Drosophila melanogaster: one gene and its partner. The protein of the gene in region 2 interacts with the protein of the main gene of each other region in a pairwise test. Each region holds a gene or a part of one and is shown on either strand. Other genes may lie near its edges. The genes, in order: SCCRO3 and CG6230.

Region 1 (4,964 bases), on a different chromosome or scaffold from region 2:
GAGGTTTACAAAATATCGATGAATCCCCGAAATCCGTGAAAACCAAATGAACAGGCCATTACTCACTTGCAGTCGAAGCAAGCACGCTTGCGACGGAACACCGTGAATTCCACACCGCAACTTTCGCAGGGCATCGTGGTCGTTGGACACTGGCCAGCTGCTCCTATCGACCGTGTCCTTGCACTGAATCCTTGCCCTTCCTGGCGATTACACCCCTTCCGCCTGCTCACGCCCACTGTGCTGGCATTGCGTTTGTTTTTCAATGTCAACGCCGTGAATCACTGGATAAAGAATGCCCTGCACACGGCTATCATTTCCACCTGGTGGGGATTTGTTCAAGAGCGCGGAGGTGCACTCAACACTTAATCATACCCAGCTGACTGCGTTTGCGATGATTTTTATAATTTTATCAGGCCAACCAAAATAGCAATTTAATGTACTAGTCTCACGGTTGCATGGAGGCATTCCTATCGGTCCAATCTGCAGATATGAATATCGATAGGCCATGCAATTGGCGGTTGATTTGAATACATCCCCCCATTTTAAAGCAACTATTATGTTAAGTTAATTTACTGGTATATCAAACTAAATACGCCATGCCATAATTAACAAATCCAATTAAGCAGTTTAATCTTTTAGTTGGTTTTATTTAATTCACATCCACTACTTACAGTTAAGTATGTAATTGTATGCATTTAAATAGTTAAGTGCCATAAAATGTTGCAATTTTGTTTAAAATAATACATCAATTAATTGCTAAATATTATACGGTCTACCTTCTGCTCCGCCTTCAAGTCAATTAGTTATATACACATGTGGTTTCCGATGATTGAGCTTTTCCAAAATTCTTGTCGATAAGTCTTTAATTACATAAACAAATGCGTCCGTTGTTGCTCCGGCCAGAATGTTGGCCAGCCATAATAAGAGCTGGCTAATGATGGCAGTTGGAGAGTCCGTCCTCAAGCAGCGCCAGCACCGCATCGTTCGTTTTCAGTGGCCACGGGTGTTTAAAGTTTTCTACTTTCACAGGGGATCTTAAGCAGCAGCTAGAGAGAGCGAGTGGTCAGTATAGATGAAAATGTACATTCTTTAATTTCTATTGGCGAGTTGAATGTTGCTTGGCCCTGAAGAGACTGGAGACTGGCTACTATGACACAAGACCCGGATCCTCGGCCTTCACGTGGCTCTGTAGGGGATCGTCGTTGTTGTTGTCATCGTCGTGGATGCCCGAGGAAACCAGCGCCCGGCTTTTCTCGTAGTCGACAAAGTCGTCGAAGAGGCTGGGCCACGCTTCGGTATCATCGTAATTTTGTATATCACATTGTTCCGTAAAATTGAGGTACATGTTCCATGTATCCTTCGGTATGCGGCGAATATTCGGGTGCTTTTCGAGGAAGTGTATCCAGTTGGAGAAGAGATCAGGTGTTTGTACAGTGAACACAAGTTTCCACAGGTCAATAGCCATCTCCAGAGAGAGGACGCGCTGATCGGGCTCCAGACCAAATCTGAAATTTGAGACGCTAATTAGGTACTGATCTTCCAAGCAGTAAGAACGGCATACCGGAATGTAAAGCGGTATAACTGCTTGAACATCTCGGCGTCCGCCTTGAGCATCTCGATTGTCTGCTCCAGCCGCACCCGGATACTGTCTATTGTGTCCGCCCTCATCTTATGCAGACCCTCAATGAACTCCACCTTGGTGAAGCGGCACATCTGCGAGGCATCCAGGCACCAGGCCAAGACGAGAATTGCGAACTCATCGGGCTGATAGTTGAGGTCATTGCATAGTCGCTCGATGCCGTCCGTGAGTATCATCTCCTCGTCGTCGGGATCTTTGTACACATCGAATAGTTTGCTCAGCGTTTGGTGCGATACCTCCATCGATTCCTGGACAGCTATTAGAATATAGAAAATCGAATGAGTATGCCGCCAAGGCAGTCGAATGAACGCTGACTCACCAGTTGTTATGATATCGCTCATGGTGGGCGCACTGCCATTAAGCAAACCTAAAGACTTAAAACTATTACGCTTAGTATCACAATTGTTTGCTTTTGCTGGCTTGAGTGGAGTTCGGCTAGAGAGCAGTTCATCGGTTTCTAGAGTGCATAAGCCGGAATAAGAGAGGTTTCTTAGACTTTGGATCACAATGCGGTTATTAACTATAGAATACCCACCTAAGGCGCAGCGCTCGTTGGCATTGGGATTAATGCCCACCGATTCGTAGCAATTTGCAAGGCTGGTGGCCGTCTGGCAGGCGTTGGAATTGGAATTGTGTGAATTGGGGGACGAGGCGTTCGTTGGCATCGATTGTTCGGCGGCAGACTGGAAGCATTTCAGGCAATTGCCCATAGTGCGGGCGTGCTTGGTGCACCACCAGGTCCTACTCCTCCCCCGTGCTCCGCCTGCAGTTGCTTGCTTAACGGGAGCACTCGATGGCTTCCAGTTTCGTTTTGGCTGAGACACTGTGATTTGTCAAGGGGCGTGCAATTGCAATTGAGGTCTGCTGGTCGTATAGCTTCTGGGAAATTTATTAACTATGCATTGGCACTGCGATTCCCTCCTCTGGCATATGGTAGTGGCTATTCCGATTCCGATTCCAAGTACGTCCTGTGCGAGTACAAACAAGTACGATTCCGATTCCGATTCTTTGTTGTCACTGCGATTGCTGTTGTTATTTTGGTGCCTCCTACGCAAACGCACACTCACGCGTATACACATACATGTGCAGGTTGCAACTGCAGCATTTGGTGCCACCAAATCGCGCTCGTCTCTCTCTATTGATGGTTTTCATTCACATTTTCAGTTCACCGTGCTCCAGCGCGTGTTTAACTACAATTTTTTACAATATTTTTAATTTGATTTATCTCGCTTTTTCACTTGTCTTGTTTTTTTCTGGCAATCGGACCAGGGCGGCACTAGTCAACCAGGGCTGCAGTGCTCTACGTTAGTTGATGCGATAGTCGTAGCAACTTCAGTCTGGCAACACCCTATCGTCGAAGAGAGTCACAGTAGGACATACAAGTTGATTCCGCACAGTAGTTCACACCTTAAATATTTTCGTACAAATTATTCTATATTCAAATACGATTATTGAACCAATACGTTCAATACAATGTTTTTATTAATTTATATTCTTTATATTACTTTATTGGTTAAGAAATTTAAAACAAAACATTAGCATACATAATTTTTCCCATTAAAATATTTAGTTGCCGTCTAAGCAGCATCTATCATTTTCTCGACCACTGTGCGTAATGTGAGCGCCGAGTTTGAGCAAAGCTAACAATTTCATTCAACAACATGCAGTCGGAGCGGTAGAAAGTGCTTCCGGGTAACGGCTTTCGGAACGTGCATATTCTACCGATCGCAGATGAAAACTTTCGGTTCGTTTGGCTAAAAAGAAAAGTGTCAAGCTGCCCGGAGTGGGAAAATCCAATTTGAAATCCTGCATTTGAAAAGTCGTCTTGAACCGGGACAACTAACTGGTAATAAGTGAGTGTGTGTACCCGTGGTAAATAAGTAAATGGTTGACTGTCTCGATTTTCGGTTGTTTTGGGCAATTCGAAAACCAGCCAACAAGGTTGAGTGAACTTGGTAGTTGGTCGTTGGTATGTAAGCCAAACTCCGTCGTGCGCAGTAAATGGGTAATGTTTTCTTGTGTGCGTGTGTCGTGGGCCTGTGATTCTTCGCGGCGGCTACACTTTTCTTTTTCTTTTTTGGATTATTAATTCGAAACGTGTGAACGTTAGTACAAGTGCTGGGAAAAAGGGCAATATGCTTAGGCTTAGGAATTTGGCTCATCTTCGGGCTTATTTTAATTGGCCAGCCCCACACAATAAGCACATTAAAAAGTGGAGTAAGACAAGAAGTACGAAAACCCCGTCTACATTTGGTACCAGTAACACCAAAACGGAAATCAGTCGATCTGATACATACATTGTACATATGTATATGCATATATAGGGATCCAAACCTAACATCACCACATCTAAAATGAGAAAACCGTAAACTAAAATGATTTATATCTTTTTTTACTCTAAATATAACAATACACACACCGTTCCAATCATTAAGTATACATTATTTCAGCGCTGAGCGGAAGATTCTTGGGTATGTTGAGCATATTTTCGAAGTAGCTGGACAGCTCTTCGAAATTAACTTCGTCGGGGCTTTGAGTCGGAGCTTCTGTGCCTCCATTAGAGAAAATATCATCACATTGACAGGTCAGGTAGACTGTATCGGGATCCGTTGGGATCGATTTAGCCAGATCCTGTAGTTTGTCCACCCTTGGGACCGTCAAGTTTATGGCGTTTCCGTAACCACAAATATTTTCACACTCGCTCATCATGGTTTTAAGATCGTAGGCATTGCCAGAAACCTTTCCAGTCGCAATCTTTGCCCAATTAGATTCCTTCTCTTCGTCGGTGTCTCGAATTTTGTGAGCCCAATCCACTCCTTCGGCACGAATTCTTTTAAAGGGATGTTCAATTATTGACTTTCGAAGAAGAAACTTTTGCTTCAGTGTATGCTTCGGAATTCGTAGATCTTCGAATTTGTTGGAATCCAAAGTTGCCTCTATTGCAGATTTATCGAAAGTTGTTGCTTCGATTGGATTGTCAGATATTATCATCTTACGCAGCTCGGAGGAGATTTTTTCTATAGACATGCTTTTTAATTGTAAAGAATTGTTGGCGCTTATGTGTGTGACCTAATTTTGAGAATCTTGAGATGTGTGATGGAAAGGAATGGCAAGTATAATGAACAGCCTACTCATCTCGCCTTGGATTCCTTTCAGATCGATTCAAGAATTTCCATCGCCAACCTGATTGAAAGATAACACAGACGAATATGTCATCGGATCGGTTTCACAAGTGGGTACATGCAATTAATTTGACTCTATCTTATCACCAATGGTGATGCACAAGAGACTCATTAACTTTCTGGTACAATCGTTTCCGTTTAGA
Region 2 (7,029 bases):
TGGCCTTCTATGGCATCCAGAACGGTCTGACCGCCACATATATAGTATTCGCATCGGCTTTGCTCAGGATTGTGTACATCCGGTTTCATTTCATCAACCAGCTGCTAAATGGTTACACCTATGGGCAGCAGCATAGGCGCAAAGAAGGTGGAGCACGAGCGAGGCGGCAGCGTGGTGACGTCAATCCCAATGTCAATCCTGCTCTAATGGAACATTTCCCGGAAGACTCGCTATTCATATACCGCATGCACAACAAACTGCTGCGTATCTACAAGGGCATCAACGATTGCTGCAACTTGATTCTGGTCTCGTTTCTGGGCTACTCCTTTTACACGGTCACCACCAACTGCTACAACCTCTTTGTCCAGATTACCGGCAAGGGCATGGTTTCACCAAACATATTGCAGTGGTGCTTCGCCTGGTTATGTCTCCACGTTTCCCTGCTGGCTTTGCTGTCACGCAGCTGTGGTCTGACCACCACGGAGGTGAGCAACTACATCGGAGATAAGATCTCAATATTCATGAGTGTTTTTATTTCAAGGCCAATGCCACATCCCAAATTCTTGCAAGGGTGTATGCCAAGTCGAAGGAGTATCAGAATATCGTAAGTTATTGAAAAACGAAATGAATCAAAGTGATTAGCTAAGGGTTTCATTACCAGATTGATAAGTTCCTTACGAAGAGCATTAAACAGGAGGTGCAATTCACGGCATATGGATTTTTTGCGATAGATAACTCCACACTATTCAAGGTATATAATCCACGTATCCCTTATTTATTAATGGGATGTACTGCAAGTTCTGTGTATTTGCTGTTTATTTTCAGATATTTTCGGCCGTCACAACATACTTGGTAATCTTGATTCAGTTCAAACAGCTCGAAGACTCGAAAGTAGAGGATCCTGTACCAGAACAAACTTAAATGTAACCTATATCAAAAGTATTTGATAAATATGCATCGCGGCTTTCGAACTTTTCTCTATTTTTATTAGCATTACAAATATTACGACAATTTCACTAATCGCATATACGGGAGAGTCGAAAAAATCGAAAGATCTCAATTTGTCAAAATAAAATGATATAGGATGCCCGATAATACACTTGCCTGATAATACACCTTAAATGCATTATGTTGATTCTTAGATGAAGAATTTCAATATTTATGAAACCGACGCCATAATATTACGTTTTGTTATTCATCATTATGGGGGTACAAATAAAAACGAAAGGGGTTTCTCTAGTGGAACGTACGGCTTGCGCCTGCTTTCACATTACTTTTCTAGTATTTAGTATAAAATGGTCCTAACAGTTCAGCACTTTAGATTTGCGACGCGTTTCCCCGAACAGGAATGAGCAAATACGGTCCAAAAGAAAAGCCCCTACAATATCTAGGACCAGGACGCCGAGCAAAGTTTTACGGAACTGAAAATGATAACATTATATACATTATAACAATAAAATATACTCAAGTACTTACATCCGTTGGGAAGTCAATTATCTCAAAGAATTCCGTCAGTTCGGGCGCCAGTCCCGTGGACAGAAGAATGACCAGTGCAGCGGAGGCTCCGATGGCATACATCAGCATGCGATTGGAGCGCAAGCTCTCCATGAACGGATAGCCCTACGTAAGTTTAAGTTTAGTATTCTGCGTTGCACGATATGTCTGGGAGCGTACCTTGTAATTCACCGCAATGGTAGCGACTTGTAATGATAGGCAAATTATGTACACCGTGCTGCTAACAATATTTGGATCGTATTTGGTCTTCTCCTCGGCATCCATATCAATGTACAACTTCACTTTGCCCTCTCTGCAAAACAAATTATCAATTCAAATGCTTTTCTTTTCATAATGTTCTAGCCAAACACACCTAGGCGGTGCCAAAATGTTGGCTTGGCTGGTCAGGTAGTAGAGCGTTCCGAAATGCACAGCAAACTGACTGAGAATGGTCGATATCGTGTAGAAGTTGAAGATATTTGGCAGTGGAGCTACCTTGGATAGAGTTTTCAGCGGCTACATAAAAAACAAATACAATACTTTAAATTGTTCTAATAAAATTAAAGCGCTGTTTTACTTACCTTAGCTCGTGTGATAAAGAGGAAGCAGGCGGCAATGAAAATACCCTGCATGGTGGCTTGGGTATCGCTGAATTTTATTCCATCAATATAGAGCACGGACTGACAGTAGGCTTGAATGAGGGCGTTCAGAGCAAGGATCTTGAACATTTGGAGTGTGGTGACCAGCGTGCAACGACCCTGCTTAATGATGTGGTTAACTAAAAATTAGAACACATTAAGTCGAAAGGAACATAAACAATAATTCAATGATACCCACCGCACATAATTGACGAAGACTTGCTGGTGAATGGCGCCGCTATAGAGGCATCACCCAACTTGACCATAGTTTGCTCTTCCATGTCGCGGAGTGCGTTTTGGAGGCGAGCCTGTGTCTGATTGAGATGCTCCTGGCGCCGACGCAATGCCCGCTCCCTGGTCGTCAACTGTTGATTGGCATTGGCTTGTGCCTGAGCTGCTATTGCAGCTGCATTGGCCGCCGCCTGCTGCTGTTCCTCCTCGGTGCGTTTGCGCTTCACTGGAGCGCTGGTCAGCAGGGAGACGCCCACGTTGGCGTGCTTAAGGGCACCCACATCGTTGGTGCCGTCGCCGCACATCAACGTGCAGTAACCCAGCTGCTTTAACTGTGTGATTACGAGCTCCTTTTGCTTGGGTGCGAACCTCGCACAGACCGTAATCTGTGGCAGTAGTTGGCGCATATATTGCGGCTGATTCTGTTGCAGATACTGCAATCCCTCTCCGGTAATGCAGAGATCATGTGTGGCTAGCAAATGGGAAAGCTTTTTGCTACCAGGCTTAGTGTCCAGTTCGTAGCTTTGATCCCCGTCAATAGATACCCAGCTCCAGTTGTTCTTACGATCCTCCTCGGGCGGGGTGAGAATGATCAGCTTTTTACGGGTGAAGCGCAGTTCGCGGGCCACATGACAGGCGGTGAGCGGGCTGTCGCCCGTAATCATGACCACCTTGTGTGAGGATTGAATAAGCTCCTTGATCACAGATTTGGAATCGGGCTTCATGGGACATGAAATAATCAAGAATCCGGCGAATGTCAGGTCACACTCCACTTCCTCACGCTTCATTTCCCTAACTCTTTGAGCGCCCAGGGTCCCAAGATCCTTAATTCCCAAAGCCAGTACGCGTGCTCCACGACGAGCGTATTCCAAATACACCTTAAAATAAAATTTTGTTGAAAATTGATATAAACTTATATAACAATAAGATTCGAATTAGATACCTTCTCATAGTCCGCGGGCACCTCGCGCAGCATCTTTTGAATGACCTCAGGAGCTCCCTTTACGGCTCCTATGTGTTTAACCTCATTGGAGTACGGAATTAGATGACCAGCTAGCACAGACATTCTCTTAAGTGCCGATGAAAAGTGATAGCGCTGAATGATCTTCAATGGCTTAAACTGTGGTCGCTTTGGGATGACGCTGTCCATCTTGGTAAGCGTCCAATCTACAGCTGCTAGAGTGGCTTTCTCAAGTGGATCTCCTACCAATCCGTCATCAAGCAGAGCCAATGAATGGCAACAGGCGAGCACTTGAACCGTATTTCCCTCCGCCTTCTCAATGGGGACACAAGCCCCATTGGGAGCCAATCCTGCAATACCTTCCACCATCAGATTATCCGTGGTCAGTGTCCCCGTCTTGTCGAAGCAGCAAATCTGCACTTTTCCCGCGAATGGAATCCGAAAGGGTTCTGTACAGAACACGAACAACTTTGTTAGCTGGATCAGTGATGTGTTTACCGCCAAGGTCAGCTCGATGGGCAAATCCGGCGGAATTATGGACGTGAGGATGAGCGTACACTCCAGGAAAAGTTTGTAGCGATTGCGCTCCGGGTCTTCGCTGCCCTTAACCCACACATAAGATGCTGCGGCTACGGCAAATACCATAAGGAAAGCGATAAAAGCAAAGGTCTCCACATTGTTCTCCGTTGCGCGATTTGCGCCGAACAGGATTGTCCGCAGTAGTTTGCCCTGGGATGTGTTAAATCCAGTACGGATAACATAGCCGATGCAACCACCGTCAGGAGCTCGAAGCGATTCTTTCGTCGGGGCAGTATGCTGGACTACTTTGGTGCCACCAAACAGCACAAACAGCTTTCCATCTCCTTCGGCGTCCATTTCAACGTCCAAATTGTCTAAGGATTCCAATGACTCCTTCATTAGTGGCACTGATTCGCCAGTGAGCATTGATTCATCCACAATGCAAGAGCCTCGAAGAATGACCAGATCGCAGGGCACTATGTTGTCGTTTTGGGACCGCGTTATCGACACCAAATCCCCGGGTAGCAGCTCGTCGGATCCAAGGTGACGCCACTTGTTTTGACGAAAGGCGTATATCAGGTAGGGCTTGTTGCCCATTTTTCGGATCTCGGACATGTTCCGCAGCTGCTGCTTAACAATAGTGCACTCGAAGGCAATTAGCATGAAAAGCGTGAACAGGGAATAGTACCAGTAGTCGTCCATGCACCACAGTCCCACGGAGAACACTTGGAACACGAAGAACGGCGCAGTGGCGCGTTCTATGAAAAGTTCGTGGAACTCAGGAACCACCATTTCCATTTCGTTATTTCCGTAGGTTTGAGTAGCCCGCTTAATGTCCTCCTCAGTTTCCAAACCTCTAGATGAGGAATAGGTGCTCAGTAGTCCATTTACCGGGAATTCGACGGCGCGGAATGTCTTCCGATCCTCATTCCAAACGTATTTGGTCTTTTGGAAAACGAAATAATACTGTGTTGAGCCATCCTCCAGCTTGGAGGACCGAATGGGGACGATCTTCGAGTTGCCATTGTTGGGAGTGGGTACGACTTTGGCCAGCACATTGGCGCCGGGGAGCTTTACACGACGGCAAGTGAGGAAGGCCAGCACGTGAACGCTCCAGTAGCAGAAGAGCAGCGTCAGAATGTGCAGAAAGGCAATGGCTAGTACGCCGATGAATCCCACGTCATTCCAAGTTGTTATATTATCCGTGGTCGTTTGGTTATCGGCAGTTATCACATCGTTATTGGTGGTATCATTCTCCTGTCCACCCGTAACGTTGATCCACAGGTAGAATGCCGACAGGTAAAGTGGCACAAAGGGCAGCACAACACCGGTCAACGGCGTGGGTATGCGAACATGGAGGCTCACATATTGCACCAGGTCGTCCAACTTGGTTGGCTCTTTCGGCCTACCGGACTGCAGAGCCATTTCTTTGCCGTACGATTCCGCGTCTCCGGCGGCTCCTCCTGGGTTGGTTGCTCCAGCTGCCTCGGTCATCGGTTTCAGGTGGGTACTCCTACTGCAGCGCGTTTCCTGTGTGAGGTTTTTAGAAAATCTAAAGCACTTTTTATAGTTGTAATGTCATAGCGGCAAAAAAAAATTGTGAAAATTCAAGCAACGTTGACAGGCACCAGCTGTTTGTCTTATGCTATCGATAGCGCCGACTTAGTGTTGGAAATCCAGTGTCAGCGATATGTTATCGGATTTTTAAATTCAAATTCATTTTGTTGTCAGCACATTAAATTCACACAAACCCCCAAAAATTTAGCATAATATATTAATACCATATGTACAAAGTATGTAAATATTTTATTAACCATTATATTTTTGGGAAACAGCTTCTGTTTTACTTAGACCAGGATCGTCTTTAAAATAATTTTGTATAGCTTAATAAATTTTAATTAATAATACTTACTGTAGTGCAAAGTTTTACTTTCCCGAACCATGAAATTAAAACCATCTAAAGTGCTGATTCAACTAAACAAACACCTGTAGATTTATTTGATGCAATAATAAAATAGGAATATTAGCACAGTCTCGCACGCACGCGCTAATTGACATGTAACGCTTATTCATCGACGCTCTCCATCGGCGACTGGACATTCGCATTGGGTCCACCGGCGGCGGCATATGCCTTCTCCATAGCGGCCTGCGACTCCCGCTTCGGCGTGACCCGCTTGTGCTGTGTGGTGAAGTTTACGTTGATCCGTCCGCTGCCACGAACGGAGCTCATGGGCGGACGCATGAGGGGCGTGGCCAGGCGACTGGCGCCTCCCGACGATGGCGGATACTGCAGTGTATCTGGCTTGGGCGTAGCTTTCGCCTCCTTGCGTACATCCACTACCAGAGCTTCGCGCACCGAGTTCTCCTGGAACTGCTTCACACGCTCGCGCATATCTGTCTCCCGCTGGATCTCCTTCTGGATCTCCGCCCGCCGCTTGTTATCGTAACGTTCCAGTGCCTTTTCATCCCGCTTCTTGTTGCGCTCCACGATGAGGTCGGCGATCTCTAGGCGCTTCTGCATGAGTGCCTCCTTGTCCAGCTTCTGGAACATCTCAGGCCATAAGCCCTTCTCTTTCTTAACCAGCACAATGCGGGCTTCGTTCTTAAAAATGCGACAAAAGCTGTAAAGATAGTTACTCCATTAATATATGTGTCCCAAATTACAGAAATGCTTTAATCCTCATCCCAACACCTCGCTGAAGCTGAAATAATCTTATACTTATTAAACTCTACTAACTCACCTGGCCATCTCGTCGATCTCCTGGGCCAGATGACGCTCAAAGAAGATGGGTGGATTGTTGAACTTTAAGTACTGCGGAAGGAGAACAACGTCCGGCTTGCGGGTTACCAGACGATTGAGTTCGATGGAGATCTTGATGTCCTCCTCTGTCTGCGAAATCTGTACCATGATGAGTTGCTTGGCTTCCCTGTTCGTTTGCGCTGCTATGGCCGTGGTTCTTCTGCTGCTGGTCTGCGACTGACAATAGGAAGGAACTTATGTTTTTGAGCTGGCCGGAACTGGGGACTCTACGACGACAACTACGACAGGGCCAACTACCCGTCGGCTGTTCACTTGCAGCGCATATTGGTCGTATTCCCCCTCGATTTAATTTGAATATTAACCGGGCTTCGAACCACCGAAACAAACCGACTGCGTTTCCCATCGACCAAACAATGATTGGTTGT

The links.
Region 1: the proteins of CG6230 (region 2) and SCCRO3 interact in a two-hybrid assay, tested with the Drosophila melanogaster proteins (one large-scale study listed by BioGRID).

What each region holds. Positions count from the first base shown.
Region 1 is NT_033778.4:12,933,605-12,938,568, forward strand, and holds SCCRO3 (squamous cell carcinoma-related oncogene 3), read right to left. Parts: upstream 2,932-4,964; 5' UTR 2,350-2,931; coding exon 2,175-2,349; intron 2,097-2,174; coding exon 1,959-2,096; intron 1,896-1,958; coding exon 1,562-1,895; intron 1,506-1,561; coding exon 1,148-1,505; 3' UTR 630-1,147; downstream 1-629. Other genes in the region: CG17019 (uncharacterized protein), read right to left, coding at 67-134; CG30487 (uncharacterized protein), read right to left, coding at 4,070-4,666; Sans (scaffold protein containing ankyrin repeats and SAM domain), read left to right, coding at 4,849-4,871, 4,964-4,964. UniProt on the Drosophila melanogaster protein: Promotes neddylation of cullin components of SCF-type E3 ubiquitin ligase complexes and thus regulates SCF-type complex activity. Function promotes cell proliferation.
Region 2 is NT_033779.5:11,114,835-11,121,863, forward strand, and holds CG6230 (uncharacterized protein), read right to left. Parts: upstream 5,486-7,029; 5' UTR 5,338-5,485; coding exon 3,307-5,337; intron 3,242-3,306; coding exon 2,332-3,241; intron 2,273-2,331; coding exon 2,076-2,272; intron 2,011-2,075; coding exon 1,868-2,010; intron 1,808-1,867; coding exon 1,675-1,807; intron 1,621-1,674; coding exon 1,477-1,620; intron 1,422-1,476; coding exon 1,302-1,421; 3' UTR 922-1,301; coding exon of another isoform or gene 826-921; 3' UTR 801-825; downstream 1-800. Other genes in the region: Gr32a (gustatory receptor 32a), read left to right, coding at 1-485, 542-604, 662-751, 826-921; Dnaaf4 (dynein axonemal assembly factor 4), read right to left, coding at 5,909-6,464, 6,585-6,751.